Linked DNA regions of Coturnix japonica. The protein of the gene in region 2 purifies or fractionates together with the protein of the main gene of each other region. This does not show direct contact. Links are inferred from orthologs where the notes say so. Each region holds a gene or a part of one and is shown on either strand. Other genes may lie near its edges.

Region 1 (4,236 bases), on a different chromosome or scaffold from region 2:
TCTATGAACTGACCTTATGCATTCTCTGAAATTATTCCCTTATTATGCTTAATTCATATTTTATTTTGATTGTGTCTTGCCCAGCAAAATAATTGTGCCTTTCAAAAAATGATAGTAAGCTTGCCCTTTCTGAATACTTTTAGCTCTGAGCCTAATTTGAGATGATACAGTATTGGTTGGTACTTATATCCTTTTATTCCTTTTTATTTTTTACTCATAAAAATTGATTCCTTATATCTGCCTTTCAAGTATTTCCTTACTTCATTTAGAAGAATAAAGATATAGTTTAAATTGTATGGTAGCGTAGGTTAACCATGGGAAAAAAAAATCTTGATCCTTGACTTGGATCAGACTTCTACAGCCTATATTTACAACCTTAACCAATGTTTTTCACTCACCTTTAAAGTAAATGTAGTTAGTCAGAATCATCACTGCATCTTTATCAAGGCTCTTCAGTAAGTCTACAAATTTACCATGGGTCTTTTCTTTTATGTAGTTATTGATTTCCTTTTTAGCATGTTCAGAATTTTGGAAATCCATAGAAACAGCTTCTGAATGATAAAAATTTTTGACATCATCCAAAAATTTTTGTTGCAGTTTCAGTCTCTCATCTATGAACAGAGTATTGCCCATGCTCAATTGAATCTCTCGGTAAGGGTCATTCAGCAGCTGGAGGAGATGCTGGAAGCCCTCATGGATCTCCTGCTCTTCCATCTCTGTCAGGTTGAATGTGAGGCATTTGTGCAGCTGGCTGAGTGTGTTTGATCTAGCCCCCAGTGAGAGCATTGCAAAGGCAGTAGAAAGGCTCAAGGGAGAGAAGAAAATGTTCTTGTTACCTCCCTCCTTTGCAACCTGCTTGTAAAACCTGAATGCAAATTCAGCATTGCTGGGGGCTATCTTCATGTGAGCCAAGTTTTCACCTTCCACATGCCCATGGTGTCCTATGGAATGAGGTCTCTCTTTCTTATGTTTGTTGCTGTGGTTGGGGTTAGGAAGCGCCTGGACTTGAAGTCCAACAAGAAACAAACACAAATACAATACAGGCTTCATTTTCCTTCTGAATAATTCTGTTGAGAAAGGAAAGATTACCTTGTAGAGAATGTTATATTTCCTGCATAAAAACAGTTCATTTTGTATTTGAAATACTGATTTTCATATGCCAGTGTTTAGGATTGCTACTTTCTTTCTATTGGGCCTCATCGCTAGTCCATTTCTGGTCTGCTCTATTTGTTTCCAACCAAGATACTAACATGACACCACTAGGGAAGAAATGATTCTGTGCTGGTTTTTGTGAGGTGTTGCTTTTTGTGAGGCACCTTATCTGAAATTGTCCTTGTGTCTGATCAGCATGGCATTATTGCATTTCTAAGGGTATCTGTGTATACAACTGAGTTTGCATATTGTTCCTATACATTCAGGAAGCACTTTGGCAGAGCACAGTAGACATAATCTTGTGATGACTTGGGTTTTCATGCACTGCAGTAATGAAGAGGTAACATCAGTTATAGTAGAAGAGAATCCATCTGATGCTTCACCATTTAAACTGTATCTTTCTGCCTCTGGTACAGCAGCTCTGAACTCAAGAACTGTGTAATTTCAGCACATTATCTTACATGTTTCAGTAAAATGAGGATAAATCAAGAAATTTTGTTGTATTTCTTCATTGCACATAAAGTATCCATAAGGCTATAAAACTGAACACACAAGAGTTTAGGAAAAGCTAGAGCAGAAGCTTAATTGTGGCCTTGCTGTGTATATATTTGGGTAATTGGATGACCTTTCGTCTTCCTTAAACTGATAGAAACAAATTCTACATAACCCCACAGTTTCTCTTCTTCCCTTTTTAGGAGATATTGTGGAAGTATGTTCTCCATAGAATATATCATGTAAATTATCTCAAATCAGAAATCTCAAAAACATAAAGGAGATAGCGTACTTCAGGAAAACAGAGGTGATGTCACTGTTCAGAGCAATAGCATGATTATTCTACAGTGTGTGAATCTGCCCCATGGTTTACCTCAGGTTGTGTCTGAAGCCAGGTTTGGGTCCTATATCAAACATTTCATGGAGAGTTGTTAAATTTGGATTTCTTCTTATGTGGCTGCCCTTTATGAAACACTTGAGATCTAAGATGTCTAAGTGCTGAGTGTGGGAACTGTGCTCAGTTTGCCTAAAATGACAGATAAAATTATAGACAGAGAAAAAGTAAAATCTAAATGAAAACAGTACACTATGATCCTGTAAATACTCTGTATGTAACACCAGAAATCTGCTTCTGAGAGAGATTAGTGTCAGCCCCTGTGCCACTTAACTGCAGTGTTTGAGGATGGTTGTGGTATCAATATATTACTCTCAGCTCCTGCGCTAGTCCTGTATCAGCCTAAAGTATCTAGGACATCGAGCTGCAAGTGAATTTACTCCTCTGGTAGTAGAGGCGGGGTTCAGTGTTTCACCTTGGGGTGAATGGCAGCTGAACATTCACTTTGGACCTCATCTCCCTTGTCATCCTGACACAGTATCTAAGAGCTGCATCACTGATGGAATCCCATTCTCAATGCATAGACCATGGTTCCAGAAGATAGATTTCCAACTACGTATTCAAAATAAAATCATCTCATAATTAAATACTATGTATTAAATTGCAGAGATCATAGACAATACAAGTTCAAATTCTTCTAAGTATGATATAGTACTTACAGTGTAGTTTAAAAAGAGTCTGCTGGACCTCTCATTCACAGTGCTCCTTCCCTACTCTCCGTTTTGCTCGGTAATATTAAGTTAATGTCCACTGGTAAATATTAATCAAAGCAAATAATATTTATTTGTAAAGCAAAGAATGAGTTAGCTACTTTTTTTTCTAGACATCAAACATCGTAACCCAGTTTTTCAACACATAGGTGAAATGATGCCAACATCTAGGGCTCAGAGGGTAAAGAGCAAGGTTCACACTACTCTTGCATTTGTGCAAACCTGTGGGCAAAAGCGCTTTGCATAGCACACTACCTTGGGATTTTAAAATCCACACAGTAAGAGAACTGGAAATCTAAGATAGGTGCTGAGTGATGTCTGGTTGTGAAAAGGGTAGTTTGTCCTACAGGACTCTCCGCATGGGATATCCTGATAGAAGGATATCTAATCAGCTACCTGAAGCACCAAAAAGCTAGGTCAGGAACAGCTCAGTACCTCCATATTGCCCTGCAATATGTGTTGCAGGGCACATTGTAAATATACTCTAATGAGATAAGTTGCTTCAAATGTAATGCCTTTTATTTCTTTCCATGGGGGAAAAAAAAAAAAAAAAAAAAAAAAAGTACAAAGAGCTCAATAACACTATTTGGTGGAGCAAATTGTAAGCTACAAAATGCTATTTCTTGTGATAATAACCACCATGAATTGATTTGTGTGAGTGAGATGACTGAGATGCAATCCATACCACAGTGTGACAGCTAGATTTGTATGTTGGAAATGTGGCTTGTCTTTCACACAGCTATCACCATTCCTGAAATGCATCACCCTCTGCCTCACTGTGTTTGCCTCTACTGCTTGGTCTCCAGAAGTATTTGGCAAGTGTTGATGAATGTCAGTAGGTGCACATTTTTCCACCTGGAGGAATTCAGTGGCATGCCTTTGCTTTACATGCACTTCCATGTCAGATACTCTAACAAGGGGCATGGCAAAAAACTTGTTATTCCAGTGTCTGAAAGGGAATTATTACTATCCTCCCATCCTACATCTCCTTTTTTCTAGAAGCCCTACCAATATTACAGATTATCGCTGTTTCATCCAACACCCACTCAACAGCACACTTTGTAGAGTTCATCAGGATTAATTTGCCAAACTCAATTTTAAACCATCCTCAGGGAGGAGCAGACATTGATTTCTATCCTCCAGGACAATATCCTTCACAGTACTCCAGATCTAATGCTAACTCTACTCTTGCAGTTTCAGCTTAATTAGGATGTTGGAGTCGTAGGATTGTCCATCTTCAGGTAAGGGAGGGCTGTGAAAACATGAATAATCTTGAATATCCCTGTAACCAAGGCAAATGCTCTGATTGCAGAGATTGGTATGATGGGTAACTGTTGCCTTAGAAAGGTCAGGTTCCACAGAGGAACTTGTTCTAATATTGAATTGCTCTCATAATCTGTCGAGTAAATCTTTAAGAAAATGAGAAACAACACACTGAGAAAGATAAAAGTATTTAACACTTCTTAAATAGTTGCTGCTGCTGAATCC
Region 2 (3,650 bases):
AAATGCAGCTGTGTCAGGTAACTGCTTGTTTTCAGCGCCTTTGCTGTTGTCCTCATCTTACTTCTGTTCCCACCACCCAAAGCTCGCACCAATATCCCTAATTCTGTGCAAGATTACCTCCATTTTTACCTGAAAAATGAGATTATAGAGTAGGACAGCTGGGTCTTCCTTGCTCTACCAAGGTAACTTTGCCATGTCTGGCTGTGGTACTTTGAAGGGGTTGTCAGCACAACTTCCATGGGTGGTGGCATGAGAGACACAGGGTTTGGAAATTAGATGCAGGAACCCTTAATCTGGCATGTTAGTGTAGTCTCAGGTGAGTACGTGTTTAGGTTGGTGCTTTGGTTTGTGCGTTGAAATGATTGTGGCACAAATGTTGCTGATTGCTGTAGGTGTGTTACCATGCATCTGGGAGTAGTGGTTACTGTTTCACTTAGTTGCTTTGGAGCCCTTTGACTTGGTCTTGTGATGATGTTGCTACCCTGCTTCAAAGCCTGAGATACTTTGGTGCGTCTCTGCAGCTCTGTGCTGAAGCATGGACTGCGCGTTAGGAGTGAGGAGAAATAATCATGTTTGCTCAGACACTCAGGGTAAACCTATTTTATAATATGTGACTTGGTAATTTTGTACCTTTTCAGGAATTACACCACCTGTTTGGGCTTACGTGCTCACTGAAGCTGTCATATACTGTAACCCAGTAGGGGGGACTTGTCTTCATTAACAGAATATTTTCCAGCACAGCAAAAGAGAATGACTAAGTATGCTCTCTTGCTTAGCATTCTGATCTTGTGTGCAGATGCATGGCATGTGGTGGTGAAGATTCTGAGGCATTCTTTCAAGACTTGATGATGTATTGTGCTTTTAAACCTTAGAGCTTCTGCTGCCTGTTGAAGTTTCTCAGATGTCTGTGAAGTTGATGGTAACTTTTTGTCTTTTTAACATTGCAGTTGCTGATGATTCCGCTCATCATGTCAGTACTTTATGTGTGGGCCCAGCTGAACAGAGACATGATTGTATCATTTTGGTTTGGAACAAGATTTAAGGTAAGTCAGATTATTTGGGAAGGTTTCTGCCTGGAATACGCTTACAAAGGGAATGAGGGATGAAAAAGAAGTATTTTCTTCAATTAAGGGTGTCCTATGCTTTCATGAAGACATATAGTCCTTCACATGCAATGAAGACAGTTCTCTCTGATGTCTTCCATACGATGCCAGGACATCTCTTCAGTAAAACCACACTGAGTGACAACTGAAATTCATTGATCTGAACAAAAGAGGGGGAAAAAAGTAATTAACCTGACTAAAAGCTGAACAATAGTGAGAAAATGTTTGGAAACTGCTCTTTCCTGTGCAGATTGGTTTGATTCTGCCACGTCTTGTGATGAAAATGTAAATGGCAGAAGATGTATCTACATAAAATATTAAAACAAGTATGATTTGTCCACACGTTAGTGGTTTCTCAGTGTAAAGCAACGGCTGTTTTGGTTATAATCTACTTAAGTTAATATAACAAGATCTGCGCATTGCTAAAAACTGAGAGTCTAATCATACTTAGTAGTGCAGTGGATCTTAAGCAGGTTCAAATTCCACACTTGGACGTACAATTTCTGTATCTCTGTTCTTTTTCAGGCCTGTTACCTACCCTGGGTTATTCTGGGATTCAACTACATCATTGGTGGATCGTATGTATTTACAATTAAGGCCTATTTAAAGTTGTGAAGTCTTTTACAGCTATCTCTTATCACTCTCATCAGCAGCGTTACTAAAATAAGAGGCTTAGAGCTGTATAATCGGTCTGATCTTGGTCAGTGTTGTATGGTGATTGTTTAAGATAATGCAAAGAGGAGCTATGGATGTGAGAGCTAAGTGAGGAGAAAGTAATAGTAAAGTGATTGTTCAGGTAGATCTTTGCATTAGGCCATTTCCTTACTAAAAGCATGATGCCCAGCAAAGAAAGATTTCATCCTGTAAGACCAGTCATCGCTGCTGATTTTTAGAAACAAACTTAATTTGAATCTTTTAAGCAGTGTTTCTTCTTTCCATCAGAACCTTATCCAATGTGTAGCTTTTATCAGCATGTGAAACACGGAGAAAAGACAATTGCAAGTCTGTGGAGTACCATATTAGCACTTTCTGTGTCTGTTGGCCTGCTTTGCATTTCTCTGAGCGTAGTGATGCAGAGTCCCGCTTGTGCAGTCTTTCCTATTAGTGCCCTGTATTGGCTGTGGCCACGTGGTGCCGCTGTAACACAGTGACAACAGCAAGTTGCATGGTTGATTTATAAAAGGAGGAGATGGGAATACAGCAAAATAAACCTCAGTTCCCTTTTCTGGCTGTGCCTCCTACTGACTCATCCATTACTTGAGAAGACTGCTTGCTGTTAGATACCTGCTGTTTCTGTGCATGACAGAAAACACTCAAGGGCCTCCATTCAGCAGCGTTCCTGCAAAATTAGGAACACAACAGTACAGCAGGAGACAGGTTGTCCAGCAAAAACAGCAAGGACTTCTCAAGCTCTACCAACTTTTCTTTTAGACACTGATGGCTATAGGGTTTAATTCTCTGTGGTAAACAAGCATTTAATTGCATTTTCAGTACAGTCTGTGAGAAGGCTTGGAAGGGAGGGTTGGAACAGCCTGTTGGTGCGTTGGTGCTGAATGCTGGCCCTTCTAAAGAAGTGGCTGCAAAATGCTGAGGGAAGGGAAATTTCTGTAGTTCACAGCCCTGGCAGTGCCTGTGGCAGGTGAACAGTGGTAACTGGCAGAAGATGAGTATTCATTTATTGCTGGGGAAAACAGCCTGCGAAACTGTTCTTTTTCTTTGCAGAGTCATCAATGAGCTCATAGGAAATCTGGTTGGACACCTGTATTTCTTCCTAATGTTTAAATATCCAATGGATCTGGGAGGAAGGAATTTTCTGTCCACACCTCAGTTCTTGTAAGTTGACTTAATGCTGTAGCTCACTGTTTATTTGGACCAGTTTTCAGGATTGTTTATAAGGTCGTATATCTTCTGGGATTGCAAAGTGTAAAATACCTCGTTAAATGAGTGTGCTTCAGCATATAGTGGCTGTGCTGTAGTGTATAGACTGTGACATCAAAAATGTTTCTTTTCATTGGAGGTGGTCAGTGTTCTTTGTTTCCCCAGTGGGTAGCTTGTGTTCTATACCTGCTCTTGAGAATAAGAGGAAAAGCTATGCCTCTAATAATGAATTAAACTAGTAAAGAATTATCAACAGTTGCCAATTATCAAACAGTATCCATCAGATTCTTTTTAAATAATTTCCTGTAAACAACCTTTTTCTGTATTTCCATGTATTGTTACAGTAACTACCAGTTAAGCAATACATAATGACAGAAATCCATTGTAGGTTTGCTAGGCACCATTATATGTATCTGCTCTGCAGTTGGTGTTGGACACCCTGGCTGAGAATTCAAGTCTTGGATTCTAAAGTGCTCTTTTTGTAACTTATTCATTGTTTTGGCACTGGAATATTAAGATCAGAAGCCAAAGACTGCAGTTTCAATTCCCCGTGTCCACATCCATTTGAGTTGTAAATACCAGTGCCTCTACCAAACTTCAGTTAGCAACATGGTTAGTTAAAGGTTTGTCCTGTAGAAAGGTTAAAAGATAAAAAGTGGAAATACAGTT

What was found.
Region 1: the proteins of DERL1 (region 2) and alpha-1-antitrypsin-like purify together in Homo sapiens (affinity purification with western blotting; 4 studies listed by BioGRID). This does not show direct contact. The link is inferred for Coturnix japonica from reciprocal best matches to the Homo sapiens genes DERL1 and SERPINA1.

The regions. Positions count from the first base shown.
Region 1 is NC_029520.1:41,319,797-41,324,032, forward strand, and holds the start of alpha-1-antitrypsin-like, read right to left. Parts: upstream 2,806-4,236; 5' UTR 2,698-2,805; intron 1,068-2,697; 5' UTR 1,051-1,067; coding exon 399-1,050; intron 1-398.
Region 2 is NC_029517.1:124,314,857-124,318,506, reverse strand, and holds part of DERL1 (derlin-1), read left to right. Parts: intron 1-947; coding exon 948-1,043; intron 1,044-1,628; coding exon 1,629-1,681; intron 1,682-2,825; coding exon 2,826-2,936; intron 2,937-3,650. UniProt on the Homo sapiens protein: Functional component of endoplasmic reticulum-associated degradation (ERAD) for misfolded lumenal proteins. Forms homotetramers which encircle a large channel traversing the endoplasmic reticulum (ER) membrane.